6 linked regions of the Bombyx mori genome follow. The protein of the gene in region 1 interacts with the protein of each later gene in a pairwise test. Links are inferred from orthologs where the notes say so. Each region holds a gene or a part of one and is shown in the gene's direction. Other genes may lie near its edges. The genes, in order: serine/threonine-protein phosphatase PP1-beta catalytic subunit, protein phosphatase 1 regulatory subunit 16A, protein kintoun, PDZ and LIM domain protein 7, nuclear inhibitor of protein phosphatase 1 and serine/threonine-protein phosphatase 1 regulatory subunit 10.

Region 1 (4,174 bases):
AACTTGTCCACTTATTAATCTAAAAGTAGTTGTGAATTTGATTTCGATTAATTTTAGAGAAAATTAATGAAATTATAACACCTTTGTATCAGATTATATAGAATGAGCTTTCTACTACAGAACTAATAACTGTTTTTGCAACTTATACCGGTATGGCTGTCAATTGTAATATTTTAATAAATCTATTAAGCCTTCCAAAGCAGAGCAATATTCAAGTTTGTCTCAACATGCTAGTCCAAGCGCTGTGTACCATTCCAAACTCATTCCAAGCCCAGTTTGAAATACTCGGGAAACACTGTAGAGGCAAATTAAATATCGAGCCGAATGGTACGTGGAAAAAACATCTCTGGAAACGCAACGACTCCAAGTTCGATGGTTTTTAGAGTAGTAGTTTAAAAATATTATCGGATGAATACTTCATTTTAATGCTTAGAACAACTTTAGAAACGATGAGTAAAAAAGGTACTAATTGAATAATTCAGCTGATTTTACTTTATTTCAATTTGAAGCGAATAGAGCACGATTTACGAATGGGCACCGATAATGTTAAATTTCATGGAAAGTGATCTCTCGAGAGAATATACTTTAATGCACGCCAAAACACAATTAACATTAAAAAAGAATCAACAAGTAGATATATTTGTACATTATGCGACCTTATTACTAAAAGCGATCTGTTCTAGACAACCGATTTATTTACAGAAATTCTCAAAATATTAAGATACAGTATTGTATATGTTGCGGTGTACTATTAAGAATAGATTAATAAGGAAAAAAATACATTTTTTTTATTGCTTAGATAGGTGAACGAGCTCATTGCCCCACCCTTCAAACCGCAACGCATTACTGCTTTACGGCAGAAATAGGCAGTGCGGTGGTACCTATCCGTGCAGACTCACAAGTGGTCCTACCACCAGTAATTACGCAAATTATAATTTTGCGGGTTTGATTTTTATTACAGCGATGTTATTCCTTCACCGCGGAAGTCAATCGTGAACATTTGTTAAGTACGTATTTCATTAGAAAAACTGGTACCCGTCTGGAATTCGAACACCGTTGCATCGCTTCAACACGAATGCACCGGACGTCTTATCCCTTAGGCCACGACGACTTCAAACACAATACAATAAATAGTATATATGCTTAGACCGTTTACACAATATGAAATCACCATAATCACTTATATAGGTCCCAATATACTTTTATATATTAATTTACTTATATATACTTAATAAATCAACAGCATGGAAACGATAAGCAAACAAACACAGGAAAAAATTATACGTCTCACCTAGGAACCCAAAACGTTCTTGCAGATATGTATATTTCCAACCAAACCGATTAAAAACCAAATACGAATCATTTTGCAGTACTTGGAATGTACCTGAAACTTACTCAAATGCTATTTTATTTTAACGTTTTGTGTCTACCAATGGACATTTTTTAAGTTAAGTAACTATCCATGAAACACAATAAATGAGAAGCGACGATAAAAACCATTTTAAACATAAAATTGTTCTCCTATTTACTTCTTTACAAGTTCTGCGTATTATGAAGAGTAATTCTAACCACAAACAATAAGAGCAAACAGGAAGAAAAAAACATTTGACTTTTTGACATAAATTTATTCGTGTAGTAAATATGGCTGACGAACTAAATGTTGACAGTCTAATTCACAGACTTTTGGAAGGTAAAATGCAATTTGTTACGATTTTGTGAGCCTCTCTTAACTACCAGACGTCTAGTTGCAAGTCTGATAATATTGGGTTTTCATTCAGCTGGTCCTTGTTGCGTAATTATTTCTGAATAAGAAGGCATAGAAACGTCAACCTCATAAATAAATCGATTATCCTTAATTTCTTATCAGGCTGCATATTAGCGTTTCTGTTAATGTTTAAATGCCTTGGATATGTTATTTTTCAATTAGAAGGGAAGATTTACGTATAAACAATAGTTGTTAGATTTTAGCCCTGAACAATGATGTCAGACTTCCATAGATTTAAACACTCACAAACTTATTGTTCTTTTATTAGTGTTACGCATTGCTTACTTGATTCAAACATATACATTTCACTTTATTGTGCTGCTTTTTGATGGGTTACAACAGTATACAGACTGCAACAAGAAACTGCAAGGAAGAAAGGCAAATTGAAAGACATCTTTTCAGGAGAATGTATGGCCACATTCAAAATTCTTGCCAGAGTATTCAGCTAGAACGTTTATTTCTTACTACCCTAGTGATCAGTCTTAACCGAAAGTTTATTCCCAATAATTATATCATGTGTTACCCATCAACATCTCATTCTTCAATTGAATCTAAAAATAGCCACAAGTATATACAAACTATGATCGCTAAACCATTTTATAGGAAGGTCTTGCAATCTGTGTTTACAGCTGTATAATGTTAATTTAGATAAAAACTTGATCTTAATCTTGCAAATTTTTTAAATTAATAACTTTTTGAGATTATATTGGTGATCAATTTTGATACTGAGTGCTAGTGTTTAGGAGTGCTTGTTGATTTGTGTGCCTATAAATTTATCAATACTTGAATACATTTTGTTTTGTTAGATTCTTATCAAATTTCATTCTAGGAATGGTAGTTAAATTGTATTTTGCATGAAAATGTCTGCATGCCTTACATGTCATAAATATAACATTTAATAAAACCCCTGCATTTGATAAATGTTTTTTGTGTTATGAAAAGCATTCTGTTTATTTTGAGTTAGAAGTTAGCAAACTGAAACCCATTCAATTAAATTTATAAAATTAAATTGAAAACTATACTAACTATGCTTCCTTAGCTACTTATAAGAATAAAATTATAAACAAAAAAAGGCTAAGAGTGCTTAATTGCTTTTAGTTGTACTACAGTTTTAAACAAATCTATATTTTTAATAAATCTTATTATTCTGACTTCAAACTTTTGCCTTAGTTCGAGGATGCAGGCCTGGCAAGACTGTGCAAATGTCGGAGGCAGAGGTACGTGGGCTCTGCACAAAGTCCAGAGAAATATTCCTGCAGCAGCCCATATTACTGGAGTTGGAGGCACCACTCAAAATTTGTGGTAAAGTCTTAAAAGTTCTTTTTTTCACTAAATTAAAAACATTCTTAATGAAATATAAATATCTTACACCAGTAACAATGAGATTTAAAAATAATTATTTAGCTTATTTAATTTCATGAACCTAAGCTACTTTCAAAAGTAAAATTCTATTTTCAAAGTTTGTTATTTCATTCATACTATGTTTATTTAACTTTTATGATTTAATACACCCTGTATTAAAGCATAAAATTTAAAATAAGTATTGGAATCATTCCCTGAGCTGTAATAGAATAACCATTATCCAAAATTATCTGCAAGACAATTCTGTAGTTGGTGGTATTAGGGCATACTTACCTAGCCCTAGCATTTAATACAATCCTCTCTGTACCTCCTGCAAAGGAATCATGCATGTAAATGAAATGTGAATAAACGTGGTATTGCAGAAAATTTTTGGGAATATTGGTGAACAAAAAAAAATCAGTATTATTTATTAAAAATATGTAAAATAAATGCATATTCTCAAAATTAATGCCAACCTGAATGAATAGAAAAAAATATTGAAAATAGAAGTTTCAGTTTCCTAGGTCTTCGGGAAGTGCCTCAAAAATCAGATGAAGATCAGATCAGAATCAGAAAAGATGTCAGTGTTTGGTGTCATTCTTTATTGTCACACTTTTTTCAATCTAGCCAGCTCTAGACCCACAGAGAGCAAACATACAAACCTTTTTTTAAATGTCTTTAATATAAATAAAAGTTTTTTTTTTCTCCTCCCTTTTTCTCATTATGAAATTATGAAAGAGTAACTTTTTTCCTCAGCATGCATACATGATGCACCATAAGTGCCACACAAAAAAAAACATAAAATAAATTGTGTCTCACTTCTTCCTACTTTTTGCTAAGATTTTATACTCAAAGTTATCTATAAAGTATTGTTCTTATTAGCTTTATCTGTATCTATCTAGGTATATTTCTATATATCTCTCTCTCTCTCTCTCACTCACTCACTCACTGACTCACTCTCTCTTCATGTAACTAAATCTTTCAACATAATATTTACCCTCTGGAGTTTTCTGATCAATTTGAAAATTTGTACGTGTATCTAGGACTGATGAGAACACAATAATTATA
Region 2 (4,195 bases), on another chromosome or scaffold:
AAAGACAAATTGGTGACGACACTTTGTCTATTTTAACGTTTATTAAAATAGGCGCCAGCCGTTTCTAGCTTTGGTTTGATTTCTTTCAGATATACATATATCGAGGGGTGAAGGTTATTTGGTTTAAGCAACATTTTGCTAATACGCGACATTTATCATTGTAATTAAAGATGCGTTTTACTTGGTATTAGCATCAACAGTTCGATGTTTTTAATTGAAATTTAGAATTAAGAATTAAGTTTACTCTATTCAAATAGCTGAAGAAGTTTTTTCTCATATTTTTTTTCAAAATTTAAATATAGAATAAATAAATAAACTATATGGCTGGCTCCCCATATGATGTAATTTGTAAAGTTGCAAAAATATCGCTTAAACGATATAGCCTTTCACCCCTCGATACATAATTTAACGTTAAAAAAAAACGTTAATTTCAGAGAAGCTCACGACTGGAATAAATATTACGGCCACAGCCAATAACACAGTTCGTCGCAAATTAATTCGGAAGCCGATATCGAATTTTATGTAACCGAAGTGATTGTAAAAAATATATTTTTAGACGCAAGCGCTAATTTGGTTTGCATGTTCCGAATTACACCTACGATCGTGATATTTCTCAAAAATAACGAGTGGGCATGAACCACCCGCATGCCGCCTTGTCATTAATCACGGTTCAGTTTGTGTATAGTCGTGGAGTTTTCTATGCAGCAAGCAGTCTACATCAAAGAAGTTTTCTGTTTAGGTATTCGGAACCTTTTTTTTTAAACCGTTTTGATCAGATCAAAAAGTTTAACGTTATAAAATACGAGCTGATTTATTTGTAAATCTTGTGAATCATGTGCCTAGTTTGGCTGTATAAAATAATATTGCAACATAATATTTATAGGTATTAAAATTTTTAGTGTATATACGTGTTTTAATTATTCTTATCAGATTCAGTTTGTTTATTGAAAGTAATTTTAAATGTTTAAATTTCATTTTGTCGTTTATCTTAATTAATGTTTATTCCATAAGTTATTTATTATTATTTATTTATTTAAATATTTGTTCGTTATGCGTGCTATACGTTATTTTATCCAAATGAATACAAACGTTATCTTTACAGACATTGTTACCACTTGAGTGATTTCTACCGTATTCTGAGTTTGATACGTAACGAGCAAGTCTATACAGAAAAATTGTGTGATATATATTTAGTGATAGTGCGACTTCACCAGTTGAATGTAAATAAAAGTGTGATTCTGTGAATTTAATTATTCAATAGTTGAGAACTATTCTTTTTCGTTTGTTTGCATATATCAATATGGAATTTGTGTTGTTACTATTTTAAATTGATCTCTTAAATTTGCTGCTTAAGTGAAGTGAATAATAGAACACTACTACTTTGTTTTTGTTTTTTTTTTTAATTATCATCATTATTTCGGAACTAAAGTAAAGAACGCCCTTCCCAATTCGTCAGTATTAAATGTTCTGAAATGGAATGAAATTTGTTTCACCTTTTGGGATAATGTGCCTGTATTATTTTGTTACAACATTAACGTTTTCATCGTCGCTCATGGATATCAGCAATGTCAGGTACACAGCCAAGATGCCGCCTTTTGCTAAGGTCTGTACTCAAATCATGTTTAAAGAAGGACATGACATAGCGTTATGGAAGTTCTTTGGAGGACAGTTCGTTCTAAAATCGGACATGTTGGAGAAAGATCTCTAGAAACGCATTGTGGTGAACACAGTGATTCCAGATGGTGCGAGTGAACCCTACTCAGGTAGCGGAATGAGCGATAGTAAAAAGGAAATAAAGCGATAATTTCGAACAACTATTCAGTGACATTCAGCAGGAACACGACACGAAACACAGAAGGAATCAAAGTTCCTTCAGAGGTTCCAAACGATCCCTTTGTACGGGATTATCGACAATCCGAATGGCCTTTTCCCTATGAAGTCAATTAGTATACCGTGTGTTAATCTATTAGACATGAATGTGAATACTTTCAATAACTACTTCAGCAGAATAAGTCTTCTAAATTTAGTAGATTATAATTATTTATTAATTTCTTGTAGACGGCGCATGCAGCAACTAAAGCTATGGCAGCAAAGGGAGAAAGAATGGGCGAGGACCAGACCGAGGAAGGAGAAAAGCACCAAAAGGAATATTTATTTTAGCGACAGTGTCATGCTACTAGAAGCGGCAGCAAGAAATGATATAGATGAAGGTACTCGTGAATGTTTTTTTTTGTTTGAATGATGCATAAAAGTTACAAGGAATCGGATGTATCGTTTCGCTGCTGTTTCGCCTGTGAAGTTGCTTTCGTTTTTACTTCAATAAAAATCGTCTCGCCAGACCAGTGTTGTATGCGAACCGCGGTAAAGAGGCCGGGTTGTAGGAATTTCTTTACCAATTCCCAGTTATCAATACAAAACGGGAAGGTAATAGCGCCTTGAGTACCGCCCCAGTGTGGGGTATGCAAAACATACCATCTGAAAAAAATAATTAGTTGTCTGTAAATTCGGTTTACGGGTGACAGTCTTACATGATAACGTCAGTAGCAGAACTTTTTTTTTTTTTCCTACCTAAGCTGATAGCCTTGAGAGGCTATGTCAGCGTAACCCTAACTTTAGTAGGTGAGCTCACGGGGCTCAAACCTGACGATGTTGCTAACACGAACCCTAGCAAGAGTCGTGCTTCGCAGAATCTACCACCGGATCGGAAACGCGACCCACTGAGAAGATCCGGCGAGAAACTCAGTGGGCTGTGTCTGAGAGTTAATTTACTCGTCGAGCCCTTCGTCGCAAGCGACGGGTTCGACGAGAACGGTGACCGGTGCTTGAGGTACCTAAAAGCACCGTTAGTGGATCGGGAGGATCCGAAATGACGTGTTTTGGGCGACGTCGACTGCTTTCCATTCTGTCCGCAGGATCGGGAATGTAGTTACCGGCGGCCACGATGAGAGGATTCTCGTGTCGTGCCGCTTTATCGAAGTGGCGCATGGACGCCGACTGCAGATACTTACTGATGGACTCTAAGTCCAGGTCGTCATGGAGGTCGACATTCCTGACGAACCACGGGGCTCCGACGGCTATCCTGCAAAAACGGGATTGAATGACTTGGAATGATTTTAAGTGTATGCGGGCCGCGTGAGCGAACACTACACTTGCATAGGTCATGACGGGGCGTATGCAAGTTTTGTAGAGTGTCACCTTATTTCTAAGGGACATTTTACTTCGCCTACATATCATCGGGTAGAGACGTCCTAGAATGAAGGCGGCACGGTCGCGTACCGTCTTGATGTGGGGGCGGAATGTCATCCTACTGTCGAGGGTGACGCCTAAGTATTTGACCTTCGGGGCCCACGGTATGGGCTGGTCGAACATCGTGATTGGGCGAACGGCGGGGGCGGGGGTGTTGACGCGCCTAGTCGGGAGAGGGATGCTCAGCGTGGTGTTCGGAGGGCGACCCCTTTTGAAGAGCACCGCTGTGCTTTTCGTGGGGTTGATGTCGATGCGCCACTTCCGGAACCACTGTCCCATGGTGGTAGCTGCGGTCTGAAGTCGTCGATGAAGCAACGCCTTCTTCCTACACGAGTAGTAGATGGCGGTGTCATCGGCGAAGAGCGCCAGATGGGTCTCCGGAGACCGGGGTATATCGTTGATATACAAACTAAATAGTAACGGGGAGAGGGCGGAGCCTTGCGGGACTCCGGCTGTGACGTGACGGGGCCGGGAACGCGTTCCCTCGACTCGATATCGGAACGAACGGTTCGACAAGTAGTCTCGTATGATGAGTAGCAGAACTATTCGAACTGGCTAGCAGTTCGAGTGACGTCAGAGCTAGTCTGACGTCACGCGAGAAGAGTGATAAATGTCACCATGCCAACGCTCGGACCGATCGTGCCTCTCTATCGCTTGTTTCGCGCTCTCGCTTGCAGGCTCAGGCGGAACGTGACACATTTTTGTGCGTGCAGCCGGTGTTCATCGATTTATAAGACGTTATCACGTCAAAATAAGTGTATTAATCATCGGTGTACATATTGGAAATTCAACATAATATTATGTCTGTCAAAACTAAAACTTGTATCTAACGATTCTTGGTAGGAGAATTTTCTTATCAGTCCACTATAAAATTCGGAAGCTAAACGTGTTCTTAATCTGCTCAAAGGCTTATCTTAACCTGATATGTTGTTTGATTTTAGTTTATTTG
Region 3 (3,641 bases), on another chromosome or scaffold:
AACTGCCAATGTTTTGCTCAAACGAATACCCAATGCAACCCAAATCCAATTATTGCGAATAATTTGCATACAGTTTGATTTATTTACTCATTGAAACTTACTTAGCTTACTCATGGAAATGCCTTGAATAAATCAAACCATTGAGTAATGATTTCAATACGTGTTTATCAATATTTATTTCACTATCTATATATCAATCTTTCTTATCTGCGTTTGTTATTTTCAAGAAATGATAATAGTGGATTTCATAAGTTTATGTTGTCTAATGTATATTACATTATTTTTTCAGGTACAATTCTTCTATTGAAGGTCAGAAAAAGAAAAATCAACGCAAGAAGAGTAAAAAGAGAAATCTGGAGAGAAGGAAAAGTGAAAGTGAAGCAGAAGAAGAATGTGGAAATACTCTTCAGGTACGTTAGCTTCTTACTTACTACTACTGGTGGTTTCAAGGGTGGGGCAACCGTTATAACAATACTGAGATCTTAGAACTTATATCACAAGGTGGGTGGTGCATTTACGTTGTAGATGTCCATGGGCTCCAGTAACGGTGCAAGTAAGTGGGCTGTGAGCTCGTGCACCCATCTAAGCAATAAAAAAAATTGCTATAAGCTTGTTGATGAAGCGAATAAAAAATAAACACGTTTCATACGGTCTCGCATACGTCACTTTTGCTTAGTTATCACCTTAAGGAATACCCCAGCGACTCTGCAAGTAGTTTGCTATCTATTTGGATAAGCGGAGAATTACAGTCGTAGACGACTGCTGCTCCTATAGCATGACCGTTAGTTCTGGCGTTCCACAAGGATCAGTGCTCTCCCCCACGGTTTTCATCCTGTAAATCAATGCCATTCTATCTATTGATGGCTTGCGTCGTTATGCAGATGACAAACACCGGGATGTGCGATATGTCAGGCATCAGAGTGTCTCGAAGCATAGTGCAGGAGAGACGATCAAATCATGGGTCTGAAGTGAAGAAAACTCTGAACACTTCAATTCAACCCATTGAACCCAGGGTTGCGCGTTCACTCCGAAAAAGGACTCTTGTCATGGTGCCGCAAGTCCAAAGAGTATCCTTGCAACCTTTCACGAGTATTGGGATACTAGGGGTCGATGTTTCGATGTATGTCCAATTTTGGAGTCATTTCAAGGGCAAGTTGACGTCCAAAATACTGGGAATTCTCTATATAGCGAAGCGGTATTTCACGCATGGACAAAGACTTGCTTTACAAAACACAAGTTTGTCATCGCGTGGAGTACTGGTCCCACCTCTAGGCCGGGGCTCCCAAATACCAGCTACTTCCCTTTGACTCTGTAAAGAAGAGGGCCGTTCGGATTATCGATGATCCCATTCTCGTGGAGTCTTTTGGCCCAAATTCTATTTATAAACGTATATTTGTCAATAAAATATCATTATCAAGTTTATAATAACATACATAAAACAATTGTTCAGTTTAGTAATACATATTTTGTTTTTTAAGAATGAATCAAAACGTGACATTATTTTCTCGTATTTCTACAAACTTTCTTCGTTCTCGTGTGAACGGACACTAATAACGCAGACCGTTCGAGTTACAAAAACAACTTATTTAGCAGAAGCGTTGTTTCATGTTTGTAATTTACATAGGAGTTTCTACAAAATAACGCAACAAAATCGTCAGCGTTTTTTTTCTCCGTTTTATAGGTCAAAAAACGAAAACAAGTATGTTCTTAAGTATGTTAAAGATACTGAGATATATCATTTTAAACGTCTTTATGAATATTATGTTCGCAGAGTTCCAAACAAAGGTCGAAGTCAGCATTGAAACAGCGACGCGACAGCGGTCTAGCGGACACGTCCGACGCCGAAGAATGCAAAACATCGGATTCGTACAACAATCACGAATTCAACATAAACGCTAAACCGACAAAATACGTAAACAAGGCTGGAATCGTTGACGCGAAATCAGAATTTCGGGATTCCGGAAAGCATTCGAAGAAACTCGAAGGAGATTCTATTAATTGCGAAAATATTAAACACAAAACGGACCTCTACGATCCCGAAAGGTTAAACAAAGGAAAATATTTAGAAGTTTCCTTTAAAAACGATCTCATATTTGATTTGGACATGTAAGCTCAGCCATGTTCGCTACTAAGCAACTTAAAGTTAATGTAAGGCGCGTAACGCCTTCTACTACGATTTTACAATATATTGAGGACACCCCAGTTTTAATTTAAAATTTTATTCATAGATTTAGTATTATAACATTTCAGAGTTATGTTCCTTTCATTGATTTGAGTACTATTTATAGACTGTAGAATGTTGTTTCTAGGTTTATGGCAACGGACTATTCGATCCGCATAATACATTCGGTCAATTAATAATTTTATAAGTTAAGTAATTTTAGAGTATATAGTTTTCAGAAGTTGTCTTACTTTAAATAATTTTTGCTCACACCAGACAATATTTCAAATGTGAACGAGTGGTACAAACTAGTGATTATTATATATACACATGGCTTGATGTCCAGTGTAAGTTTTTAAAAGCACTGCACAGTGATCAATTAGATTAATACACGTTTATACACATTTTATTATATATACAAATAATAAATAATTAAATAATCAAACATCCGATCCAGTCTTGCATATGAAAATTGTTTATTTGTAGATTTTTTTGAATCTTGATTAACGATTAATGGTTAATTTATATTTGGTCTTGATCTAAACAATATGGTAGTGAGTGAGTGGTTTAATAAAGGAGAGTCAAGTGTGTATCGGCTACCGTCTGGATGAGTTACAGCTGTAGCTAGGGTTGACACTAACTAGCCAATAGTAGTGTAGTATGTATATGCTACTTACAATACAGAAAATAGAATGCACTACTAACCTTTATTTATTTATTTTATTAACCTTTATTTTTGTTTAAAAATTCACTAACCATACAAAAACTATTAAATTTATATGCGAGTTAATGACCCTAGCTCATAACTTTATGCGAGTAAAACGAACAGCTTGTCTTAAAATTAATCCCAAACTGTTGTCATAAACAATGCATTTAGTTAATTTAGAAACGAATGATTTGTAATAATTAATTATAGTTATTTAACGTATGAATGTGATTCAGTGTTTTTGGGAGTATACAAAATAAAAAATGTGAAATTATGTTATTTTGTTTCCTTGGTCACATATAGATACGATGATATAGGTATCTTAGGAAATGTCGAATTGTAACGGTAATCATTGGTAGTTTTACTTAATACAAATGTTCATGATTGATTTCCACGGTGAAGGCATAACATCCTGTAATAAAAAAAAAACAAATGTGTGCAATTCACACGTGGTAGAAGTGAAACCTTCCAAAATTAAAATACAATTATCCTAAACGTCTCAAGTATATGTAAAATTTTGTCATTAGTAAATAATTGTAAGGTAGCGCCCTCTGTGAATTGATATTTTAATTTCACGTATAATCCTAAATTAAAATTCACTACAAGAGCTTTCATACACACGTTAGTATTAAAAAATTTCACAGATGGCGCTGTATTAAATAGTATGTATATTTCTGTCTCATTCTTTGCTGGCTTCATCCTACACATTTTTGTATTTGTGTCTCTTACCTATCGTTTTTTCCGTTGCATCCGGTTTGAAATCACAACGATTCT
Region 4 (4,011 bases), on another chromosome or scaffold:
AACGAAAGGTAAGCATTTACCAAAAAATGTGAAAATTAAATAAAGAGACTAAAACATATAAAGAACTAGCGACCCGCCCTCACTTCGCTTCGGAAACTGTAATTTATTATTGATTTCTCCACTATTTAATGGATGTTATTATACATATAAACCTTCCTCTTCAATCACTCTATCTAGTAAAAAAACGCATCAAAATCCGTTGTGTAGTTTTAAAGATTCAGATTATTTATATAGGGATATAGGGACAGAGAAAGCGACTTTGTTTTATACTATGTAGTGATAGTGATAAATGAAAATACGAACCGAAGTTTTACTAAACATGTTTTTGTTTTATTAATCTTGCGTAATGAAATTTTTTTCGTGGTTGAATACTGATGGGGTGTTGACAGAAAATTGAAATTAATTGGTGTGCTTCTTTTGTTAGGTCTTTTGTTTATTCGAACTCGGACTTCGATGAAACATGGAACTTCTAGGAAAGTTATGTATAGTTAATAAGAATTTTATTGAAATTATATAATTTAAATCAAGCTACCACTAAAAGGTAACTTCAGTCTAAATCAATAAGAATTGCATAAGAAATAAAAACGTAGTACGTTCACCCAGTACTTAAAGTCTTTTCCTTTCGGACATCTAAGTACAAGTAGACATGAAAACTGCGACTTATATCAAAATATTTCATAAGAGTCTTAATCAGTCGCAATCTCTCCCAAAATATTTATTTCCCATGTATCTTTACCGTTTCACGATTTCGGTGATTTCAAATGTATCATTTTAGACCTGTGTTCATTTGGATACATAAAATAATGAGAACAAGCTACACGCTTTTAAACTACTTTCAGCCATTAAGCCTCATAAATAATGAAACTCGTCTTTTTATTTATTTATTGCTTAGATGGGTGGACGAGCTCACAGCCCACCTGGTGTTAAGTGGTTACTGGAGCCCATAGACATTCACAACGTAAATGCGCCACCCACCTTGAGATATAAGTTCTCCACCCTTCAAACCGAAACGCATTACTGCTTCACGGCAGAAAATAGGCAGGGTGGTGGTCCCCCCCCGCGTGGACTCACAAGAGGTCCTACCACCAGTAATTACACAAATTATAATTTTGCGGGTGCCAATTGGAAAATTCTCACCAAAAGAGAGCTCCATTTCAAATTATCGATAACGAACAAAATGCAAATGGGGAAGTTGGCAAACATCAACATGATTTCAGTCTAAATTTAACAATTAAACGCTGGACTACGCCAATGGTAGCGTAGTGCACGCGAGTATATAAATGAGCAATATTGTTTTCTTAAACTTTCACACGATCGGTTGCCTTCACACAGCTTGTTATTCCCACTAAATAATAATTCGTATAGTTGATCAAAGACCATGAAACCCAATAAGCTTAACAACATTTTTGAATTTTTAATATACATATATTATAAACTATAAAGTTTCTGCTAACCCATTTATCAAGCGTAGTTAATGTAATCACAATAATTTTAACATGTTTATTTACGCCATCAATTCTTCGACCTTATCCCATTTATATTTTGAAGTGTAATTTTTATGTAGGTCAAAGTAATGTGGTTTATAAATTGGAGTAAATAAACAGCGAGGCATATCTCGGAGGCAGCCTGATGGGCGGTCATCAATATCGAATCGTTTCCGTAAATCGAACTGGGTCGATTGCGAAGGCAGGGTTACATGAAGCTAAGGCGGGCGGGGAGGATGCGTGTTTGCGGCGTGGGCTAATTTAGCTCGCAGAACGTCGTGTCTTGCCGCCGCGGTCGTACTATCCGCGCAACAGTGCGTTCGCGCAAGTGCATCCGAACGCAATGGGCCGATTGCATACGTTCGTAGTGACCCTGCGGAGGGATTCTCGCGAGATCAACTGGGGACTACGGCTTGTGGGCGGCGCAGACCTCGCCACTCCACTCATTGTCACAAGGGTAAACCTCCCGTTTATCAGCTCGGTTAGCTAAGGCGCTCGCTACGTCAACAAATGAACGCCGGTGTAAACAAACCGGCGCTGGAGTCAATATTTACTATTAACCCAACGCTTCGTTCCTGTGAATTTGTGGATATCTATCTATAGAATATGTATTTCGATTTGATGTTTAGGGACCGACGGTGCCGATTTCACTACAAACGAATATAATTATAATTCCGTCGTGACATGACATGACATCTGTTCTTAAAGAATTTAAGAATTTTTATCTCCTCATAAAGTTTCGGTTATTTTCGTTTTTTTTTAATTTTCGCTGCTGTTAAAAATCCGAGCCACAGCACGATTCTCAAATGATTATGTAGAACATCAAATAATCTAGAACGTTGACGTTGTCTCTTTATAACCGATGTATTCTGGGATATGTATCGGTCGCTCTAGTTCGACAGCTGCCGGTGAAGTCGTCGCTTGGCCTCATTGTCGTAATCCTACGAAGTTCTGGAGCTGTTTTCTTTTAAAACTATTAATTATTCAACTTCCGGCCATCCTTATTCAAATGAAGCCGTAACGGATTCAATTAGTGATTTTTTTACTAAATGATCTTGTAAAATTACAGCATCATATCGTATGTAACTGATAAAATATATTGAATTCCTTGGTTAATGAATACTGTATCCCTAAATCACTCAATATGTAACAATTTACTATATTTTTATTTGATATTTTATATGGCAAATAGTAAATAATTAAAATGAACCAAATCAGTGTGTACAAGCAGATACTGGCCAGACAAACAAAAGCTGCAAACGAGCAGATGAACTGATAATAAACGAACTTTACTTTTACTAATTAGAAAGAAATAACTATAGAATTTTATTCTCATTTTGAACTCTGTACCCATTATGACCAAATTTAAAAAATACTCCGTTCAAAATGGATAAACGCTGAGACAGAAACCAGAGGAATACTTACATTATTAAACAGATGAAATAACTAAATGTAATTTGGAGTGTAGGTACAAATAAAATGTATAGGACTAAGTATGCCATAAGTAAGGATGTATGTATGCCATAGGACTAAGTATGCCATAGGTATAAAACATAGAACTACGATCAGTTACCACGATGATAGATCTAACTTTAAAATTTCATCGCTGAAGTATAAATGATTTAATTGCAGTAACATGCACCCGATGATTTACTTGCAATGTAGCGTAAGTGATACTAAACCTAGACTGAACGAGTACTATTCCTAATGAAAATTATTTAAATTTTATATTCATAAGACTTCGACAATCGTCTTTTAAAGGCCTTTTAAAGATTTGACTCCATACAGAAGAGGGTCGTTCGGATTGTCGATAATCCCGTTCTCACGGATCGTTTGGAACCTCTGGGTCTGCGGAGGGACTTCGCTTCTCTCTGTATTTTGTACCGTATGTTCCATGGTGAGTGCTCTGAGGTATTGTTTGAGATAATTCCATCATCTCGTTTTTACTATCGCACCGGAGTACAGTTCATCCATACTACCTGGAGCCTGTGCGTTCATCCACATTGCGTTTCCACAGATCTTTTTGCCACATACCATCCGGCTTTGGAATGAGCTCCCGTCCACGGTGTTTCCCGAGCGCTATGACTTGTCCTTCCTCAAACGAGGCTTGTGGAGAGTACTCAACGGTAGGCAGCGGCTTTACTCTGCCCCTGGCATTGCTGAAGTCCATGGGCGACGGTAACCACTCAGCATCAGGTGGGCCGTGTGCTCGTCTGCCTACAAGGGTAACAAAAAAAAAAGAATCTATACTAATATTATAATAAAGAGGAAAGATTTGTTTGTTTGTTTGTTTCGAATAGGCTCCGAAACTACTGGACCGATTTGAAAAATTCTTTTTCCATTAGAAGCCGACATTGTCCCTGATGAACATAGGCTACTTTTTTTAATTTTTATTTTATTTTTTATTTTTTGGTTTCATGTGTGTTTTAATGTTTCCGAAGCGAAGCGAGGGCGGGTCGCTAGTGTAAAATATAAAGCTTATCTAACAAATAAGGCCGGAAGAGTACAACTGATTTTCTCGTATAAA
Region 5 (2,977 bases), on another chromosome or scaffold:
GTGTTCGCTATCGATAAACCATTGTCATCTCGGTGGGTCGCAATTCCGTTCCGGTGATAGATTCAGCGAAGCACAACTCTTGTTAGGGCTGGTGTTAGCAAATTTTCTCAGGTTTGAAGCCATGAGCTCACCTACCCGTAAGGTCATAACTGAAATAGTCTCCTAGGCTACCGGCGAATAGGAAAAAAAGCCGGCATCCAAACCCAAAGCTACATAAATTTTATTTTTATTGACTTCATAAAAGGAGATGGTTCTGGGGATTGGTTCATTGGGATCTATTATTTATTACATTAATCGAAGACAGCAGCACTCCAAAAAGTATACGGTATCGATATTACTATAACTTTAGGAGGAAGCAGCAACCTCAAAACAATTTATGGAGTACATACAGAAAAAATATTCGGTACCTATATAATCTCAAATATAGAAAGTAGTCATGTAATTAGTGGAATGCATAGAATAAATACAGGACAGTATACGGTACCGATATATCCATACATTTGGATGGATGTCGAAAAACTGATTAAATGTATGGAACAAATACAGAAATATACAATGTGACACATTATTTCCATCATGAACGGATGCAAGGAACCAGCGAGAATTATTTCAAATTGAATATCTTATTTTCGAATTTAAATAAAATTTCTTGTCGGTAATAGAATTCACATGACACCAATGTAACTATATTCGCACGAATAATAGTTTAAAACCCATTGGAAACGGTGGATGCAACAGGGTTCGACTATGAAAAGACGCAAGAAGTCTTCATCGATTTAAATATATATATATATATATATTTTATGGAAATTTTGTCTTTCCCTTTCAGGCTCGGTCTATCGTTGCCGAACCCGGCGCCCGAAGTGGAGCTCGAAGGTCCGGAACCGTTCATGCTGCACGCGCCCTTACCGACCACAGGTCAGTCCAACGCACTATGTACTTTAATGTTGAAGCGTTAAGGTTTGATTTGATGTAAACTCGTACGGTGATTATGTATCGTCGAACATATACATACGTATTGCCTGATAGTGAGTACCGTAATTGTCTTGTCATGGACATGTCCGGGGCATAGACAAATTCCATTTGGCGCATTTACGTTGTAGATGTCTATGGGCTCCACTTAACACAAGGTAGACTTTGAGCTCGTACATCCATCTAAGCAATAAAACAAAGGGGATACAAAGTTTTTGCTTTACACATTAATTATAGACTCTCTCACTCTATTGAATCTTTATTTTCCAGCACCCGAAGAACCAGGTTCGTCGGCCGGCCCGCGAAAGAAGAAGTACGCCAAGGAAGCGTGGCCAGGCCGGAAGCCAAGTCTCATACCGGGCGTGTGAAGCGAAACTGAAGTCGGAACGTTTTAAAAACTTAAAAGTAAATAAACAACCATGTCCTTTTGTGTTCAGCGTTTGAATGGAGCTTTAGGTGTCGGAGAGTCAATGTAAAACGAAGTTTCTCGTTTCTGTGTGATGGCTTGTCAATGAGCTCACGTGATATACGATTTGTATTGGTGACGCCGGAGTTGTTCTCGGAAGTCAATTTTGGATTGTGCTGGCGAATCTGAATATTCAATTCATTGTATATTGTAACGCGCTGGAGATAAATAAAAAATCTACCGAAGTATAAATTAAAACTGTATATTCACACTTAGAAAACTCACAGAACACTTTAAAATTCTTAATTCACTTCTTCCGCTTCGCTTCAGGTAATCCGTTCGCTGTTTCGTTTCGAATAGTTCCGATTACTAATTAACTCGTGCCATCTCTGCAACGCTTTTATAGTCGATATGACATCCCTAGAATTATCGAGGAAATTCCTCACAAGTCGAGTTATCTTCGACGTGTGTTTCCGCTATCTGACAATAGGTGGCGTTGTACTTCTCGATCTTTCTCGACGTTATGACTTCCTTTGATATTCGTTTCGGCTATTTGGCGATAGATGGCGTTACTCTTACCGGCGTAATAATATCATGCATGTAAGTAATGTGGTAGTAATATATTAGCCGATGTCGGTCGTCTCCTAGGGAATGTATCGGCGCGGTGAAACAACCGTCATAAAATACACACATAGACTATTTCGACCTCATGTCTGAAGGTCACTGTGAGCGGGCTCCGGTAACCACTTAACGTCAGGATGGCGGCTGAAATTATCGCAGGATAGTGTTGTCGTGTTTTGATTCACACGATAACAGAGCTGAGGCCAATCTGTCGATAATTACCCAGTAAACCCTCTACAAACCAGGGTCGTAAGCTCGTCTCTGTGACTTAGTGCGATCTTGCTGCTTTTTGTCCAAATAAACTTGATCGATCCGACACGCCGATTTGTTGAACTCAAAGCTTCTTGAGCACTGTTGCGACTTCGGATGAAACGGAAACGACACTAGAAAGAGACAAACATATACGTCTATAGGATTCAGCGTGCGAAATTGAGAGAGAATACTGCAGGCACGTGTTATTTCAATCGTATCTCTGACCGATAATTGGGCTTCTTCGGACATTTGTCGTTAGAAGAATCAAACTAGGAGTCGCCAGAGAACCATCGTCTTTTGTTCTATGGAAAACGTTATTTGATACATATCGATACATCAGAACCCTTGGAAAACAAATCTGATATAAGTAATGTTCATTTATCGATGCTATTTGTTTCAATAAAACCGTACATCATCAGTTCCATATACCAATTTGTTTAATATCACATATACAATATAATTTCTATATGCACTTATGATTTTTTAATTGAGGTATTTCACAATTAAAGACGATGCATTCTGAAATTGATAATGAATTTTGACCTGTAACTGGTTCTTAGGCTTCTCCAATTGTACGCCATTGATCACGATCCTCGGTTGCTATCAACCAGCTCTGACCAGCCATCCAGCATAGGACGTCACATCCTATTTTATTTATTTCATTTACTTTAGATTTTGCATCCATATTACATTCATTAACATTTCATATATATGAAAAAAAATTTG
Region 6 (4,289 bases), on another chromosome or scaffold:
TGCATAAACTTGGCATAGTATCTAGTGCTGCCTGTGAATGTGGTGAGAGTTACTGCGATATGAATCATGTTTTCTTTTCCTGTCCTTTATATGACCACTCTTTCCTATATGAATCTCTAATATCTCTCTCTATTCCTCTTCCTTCTAACATTTACTTACTTCTTAGAGATAATAGACCCTGTGTATATAGTGCATTAAATAAATTTATTATAAATAACAAGATTAAATTGTAGTTTAATATTATTTGTTTTCTTTTGTTATATATATTTTTTAGATATGAAATTATTCTGATTTGTTTTTGTATAATTCCCGGTATGATTTAATTATTTTAATTCGCGTTATATGTTTCCCTCGCTTTGTTGACAAAATGTAAAATACTTGACACTGGCCAAATGCACGAATGGTGCCGAGCCAAAATTAAGAAGAAGAAGAAGAAGAATATTTTCTCATTTATCTTTTCTTTTCTGTTTTTTTTTTAATTAGTCTATTGCAAAAGGCAAAGGGATCGTAGACCATATAAGTAACCATTTTTTTATTTCAAAGGCTGAATCTGTTCTATTTTATGGAAAATAAAATAGAACAAACGATAGTGGGGAATTTACTGAGGTTCAATACGAGCAGTCACGTCCAGCATTTATGTTTAATTTTCCCAAAATTATGCACTTTCACAGAGGCTAAACGGTTGATAGGTCGCCATTATTACACATTTAATCCTAAAAAAATACTTTAATATCACCACAAAGTAACATAACTTGATACCTCTTCTCTCGCGACAAAAAGTATTAGAGTGATTTTGTCAGCCTCTCATTTGATTTTAAAGGCTTTTGTGTAATATTTGAAAATTATTGTCTTGCTTTTAAAAATCAATAATTGTCTATATCTATTTCTACATTATTTATATATAAAAAGGGTAAAATTATTAAGAAAAAGAAAAGAAGAAACAATTGTTGCCGTTGCAGTGGTATTTCTGGATTTTTGGTAAAAATAAAAGACTGCATAACTCTCAGTGCTCCAACCCAGCTTCAACTTTATTTACTGTTTCGGCGATGTTGTTTCTGTTGACCTAACAGTCTACTTAGTTCCCGTTATCTTGGGTGGGTAGCCAGAGTGACTTTAACTTGGTTCATCTGCTTTTTACTTTTAAATGTTCACGATCATACTAAAATTGAAATAACCTTTCGATAAACCGAAAGTCATAAACGTAAAATCCACATCCGAAAATGGGACTGCTTCATACGCATGGATGATAGGTACTTGAAACTTCTTTTATTTCCCTCAAAGGTTGACAAACTTACGGCTGAACTAGTATAGTAACTATATACTACTACTAATTGGAAGCTACCGACGAGCGTGAATTTAGGCAAAGCTAAGATTATAGACTCTTCCATATGATTGTTACAAATAAATATTACAGAGTTAGAGAAGAAACATACCACTACGGAACGTTCGAAATTACTCATTTCTGCAAATTTTCAAAAAAATATAGCAACACCGGCTAGTGACTATGCTACAAAGTGCGCAGTTTCCTTTTCCTCCTTTGTCATTCTTCAGCTATTCTTTGCGCTGCGTGCGTATCTGCGCTCGTATTTCTACAAGAGCTAAATAAAATTGGCTGCCGTTTAGGATTCTGCCAAGTAGATTGTGTATATTTTAATTTTCAATATTATCCATAGCTTATTTAGGTATTTAATTATCAATAAATACCACATTCAGACACTTGAAACAATCACTCAAATTACGCAATAATTAAGAATGTTAATTTAAAGGATTGTAAATTTATGTGGATAGAATGTAATATATGTAATGATTTTGTTGAAATAGTAATTTCGTGGACTGAGTCTCTAATTCTGAACTGTATAAATAAGAAATCAGTGTTTCGTTTGTGAGAGTACTGTTTCATACACAAGACGCCATATTAGAATGGAAAAATTTAGGGCGTGGCACATGAATTTTGATTGCTGTTCTCGGAGTTAAATTAATTTGAAGTTATCTACTGTAAAATTAGAAGAAATGGTAAGTGCGATAATTATTAAAATTGTTATGAATTTCTCAACCCACTTTACATAAGTAGCAAACTGAATTCACATACGTAGGTATCGATTTCATGTCAAATCATTTAAAGACTTTGAATATAAAGAATTCATGAGTTCTAAGCAATAAGTCGATTTTATTTATAATGGTTTAAAAATAGATATGAAACGTGGTGTAATTTGGTTGGCATGACGTGGTTTCTAGAAAGAAGGTAAGTAATGGCGTGACATCCGTCGGTAAATGCTTCAACGTGATTGGCTGTCGCCTACTTTTGTAAGAACAAAGAGTGGACTTTGATCATTGAATCGGGCCGCGGATATTTTATTGATTTAATATGATGCAAGACAATTATCATTAATTTGAAAATTCCTGAGTGTTGCAATCGTCTATTTTCCATCTGTACAAACATAAAAAAATTTAAAATACACGCCCTTTTTCAGGTAGACATTGCTAATTTGCTTGTTTTCTTTTCCAAACGGTCATTGTTCATCTTTATGGGCAACGCGTTATTCAACAAACGGTAAATAGTGGTCGTGGCCCAAAACACGTCACTTCGAATCCCCCCTATCCACAATCGGTGTTTCTAGGCATTCCAAGCACCAGTCACCATTTTCATCGAACCTTTCGAATGCGACCAAGGCTTCGTCATGAAAATTAAATAACAATAACAGCCCACTGAGTTGCCGGATCTTCTTAGTGGGTCGCGATTCCGATACAATGGTAGATTCAGCGAAGCACTGTCCTTGCTAGGGTTAGTGCTAGCAAGACGCCAAGCTGGATACCAGAGAGCTTGCCTAAACGTCCAGTGAATCTAGGGTGACCCCTCGAGGTTTCTGAAATAAGAAGTTAAATAAAGTTATCAATTCAATATGTCAATCGAGACCTCATTGTCTTGAGTGAGGATGAAGAAATTTACCAGATAGTGGTTGAGCTCGTTTGATTTATCTGTTGCAGTATAAGAACGAAAAAAAAACAGTATTAGATGTCTTCAATTTAAATATTTGTAATACTATTTTTAAGCTTTAACAAGCCAAAACAAATGTCATGAAGCATTACTCAGTGTGTTTTATAATTTAATGTTTAAATACACCACTGTCTAATGTAATAAACAAGGTCAGACATTTTATTGTTTTGTCTTCATCGATGAGTGGGAATTGTAGTAGAACATAAATTTGTATAAACATAACATAACAGCTACACTAAATGATTATAGCTTTTGCCATTAAAAGTAGCTTAGTGTAGAAATGAACAATATAAGGTTAATAATTTCGTAATTGCCTCCCAAGTATCCACACTATACCGGTTGTCAAAATTTTACAGGTGTTAAAGACCTAGCTATGTTATATTCTAGGACATTGATCTCATATGTTTTGTGGAATTAATGTTCCCAGGTCTAATGGCACTAGTAACACTAGTAACAGCTTTTACTGATATGCTTTTTAACTTATGAGATTTCAAAATGGTTAAAACTCTATTTCTGGAAGCATTTTCAATCCTACAGAAACTTTTTATTTCGAAACTCCTCAGATTCAGTCCTTAAAACAGAGGGATCGATAATGTTTTATCTATAAAAATTGCATCACAACAAAACTTCAGTGGAAGGAATCCTCATTACCTCTAAACCTTGTTTGAGTCCAAATATACAATGACCTGACCGTTGACCTTCTACTAACTAACTTTTGTTTATGGATTAAAAATACAAATCATTAATTTGAATAAAAACTTTTAAAGGATTATTTTCATTTAATTGAAATACCTTTCAGCTATTGTTTTATTACTGATATCAGATTCTTATTCAGAGTGATCAAAATAGTTTCAGAGAGAATCTTGCAAACTATTTCAGTCTATGCTGTCCAAGTGTATTCATGACAAGACATCTGAGCTGCTGTTGCATGGCATGAACCATTTTAGTTTCACGCTGTTGAACTATCCAAGTTTTTTTTATTTTCAAAGGGCCCCTTATTATTTAAGCATATTCCAAAAGAGGCTTTACTTATGTACCAGTAGTATAATATTTAAAACTTCTGGTTCTGAATTTTATGTCCAATTTAACCATATATATATGCTTCCCATTTGAGATAGTTACAATTTTTTTTTAATTGCTTAGATGGGTGGATGAGCTCACAGCCCATCTGGAGTTAAGTAGTTACTGGAGTCCATAGACATCTATACCGTAAATGCTGCCACCCACCTTTAGATATGAGTTCTAAGGTCTCAGTATAGTTACAGCGGCTGCCGCACCCATAACACGTTGACTG

What was found.
Region 2: the proteins of serine/threonine-protein phosphatase PP1-beta catalytic subunit (region 1) and protein phosphatase 1 regulatory subunit 16A interact in a two-hybrid assay, tested with the Drosophila melanogaster proteins (2 studies listed by BioGRID). The link is inferred for Bombyx mori from reciprocal best matches to the Drosophila melanogaster genes flw and MYPT-75D.
Region 3: the proteins of serine/threonine-protein phosphatase PP1-beta catalytic subunit (region 1) and protein kintoun interact in binary tests that used the Drosophila melanogaster proteins (3 or more experiments, as listed by UniProt). The link is inferred for Bombyx mori from reciprocal best matches to the Drosophila melanogaster genes flw and Nop17l.
Region 4: the proteins of serine/threonine-protein phosphatase PP1-beta catalytic subunit (region 1) and PDZ and LIM domain protein 7 interact in a two-hybrid assay, tested with the Drosophila melanogaster proteins (2 studies listed by BioGRID). The link is inferred for Bombyx mori from reciprocal best matches to the Drosophila melanogaster genes flw and Zasp66.
Region 5: the proteins of serine/threonine-protein phosphatase PP1-beta catalytic subunit (region 1) and nuclear inhibitor of protein phosphatase 1 interact in a two-hybrid assay, tested with the Drosophila melanogaster proteins (2 studies listed by BioGRID). The link is inferred for Bombyx mori from reciprocal best matches to the Drosophila melanogaster genes flw and NiPp1.
Region 6: the proteins of serine/threonine-protein phosphatase PP1-beta catalytic subunit (region 1) and serine/threonine-protein phosphatase 1 regulatory subunit 10 interact in a two-hybrid assay, tested with the Drosophila melanogaster proteins (2 studies listed by BioGRID). The link is inferred for Bombyx mori from reciprocal best matches to the Drosophila melanogaster genes flw and PNUTS.

What each region holds. Positions count from the first base shown.
Region 1 is NC_085124.1:8,354,105-8,358,278, forward strand, and holds the start of serine/threonine-protein phosphatase PP1-beta catalytic subunit, read left to right. Parts: upstream 1-1,374; 5' UTR 1,375-1,641; coding exon 1,642-1,690; exon of another isoform or gene 1,691-1,802; intron 1,803-2,050; exon of another isoform or gene 2,051-2,167; intron 2,168-2,935; coding exon 2,936-3,067; intron 3,068-4,174. UniProt on the Drosophila melanogaster protein: Required for cell adhesion in non-muscle tissues and in maintenance of muscle attachment. Vital for larval development.
Region 2 is NC_085117.1:10,540,727-10,544,921, reverse strand, and holds the start of protein phosphatase 1 regulatory subunit 16A, read left to right. Parts: upstream 1-1,395; 5' UTR 1,396-1,477; coding exon 1,478-1,572; coding exon of another isoform or gene 1,573-1,603; intron 1,604-2,058; coding exon 2,059-2,210; intron 2,211-4,195.
Region 3 is NC_085116.1:10,196,615-10,200,255, reverse strand, and holds the end of protein kintoun, read left to right. Parts: intron 1-289; coding exon 290-410; intron 411-1,771; coding exon 1,772-2,110; 3' UTR 2,111-3,141; downstream 3,142-3,641. UniProt on the Drosophila melanogaster protein: Required for cytoplasmic pre-assembly of axonemal dyneins, thereby playing a central role in motility in cilia and flagella.
Region 4 is NC_085128.1:10,936,626-10,940,636, reverse strand, and holds the start of PDZ and LIM domain protein 7, read left to right. Parts: upstream 1-1,211; 5' UTR 1,212-1,827; coding exon 1,828-1,941; intron 1,942-4,011.
Region 5 is NC_085126.1:4,092,689-4,095,665, forward strand, and holds part of nuclear inhibitor of protein phosphatase 1, read left to right. Parts: intron 1-829; coding exon 830-918; intron 919-1,242; coding exon 1,243-1,340; 3' UTR 1,341-2,977.
Region 6 is NC_085110.1:7,714,672-7,718,960, reverse strand, and holds the start of serine/threonine-protein phosphatase 1 regulatory subunit 10, read left to right. Parts: upstream 1-1,489; 5' UTR 1,490-2,010; coding exon 2,011-2,013; intron 2,014-4,289.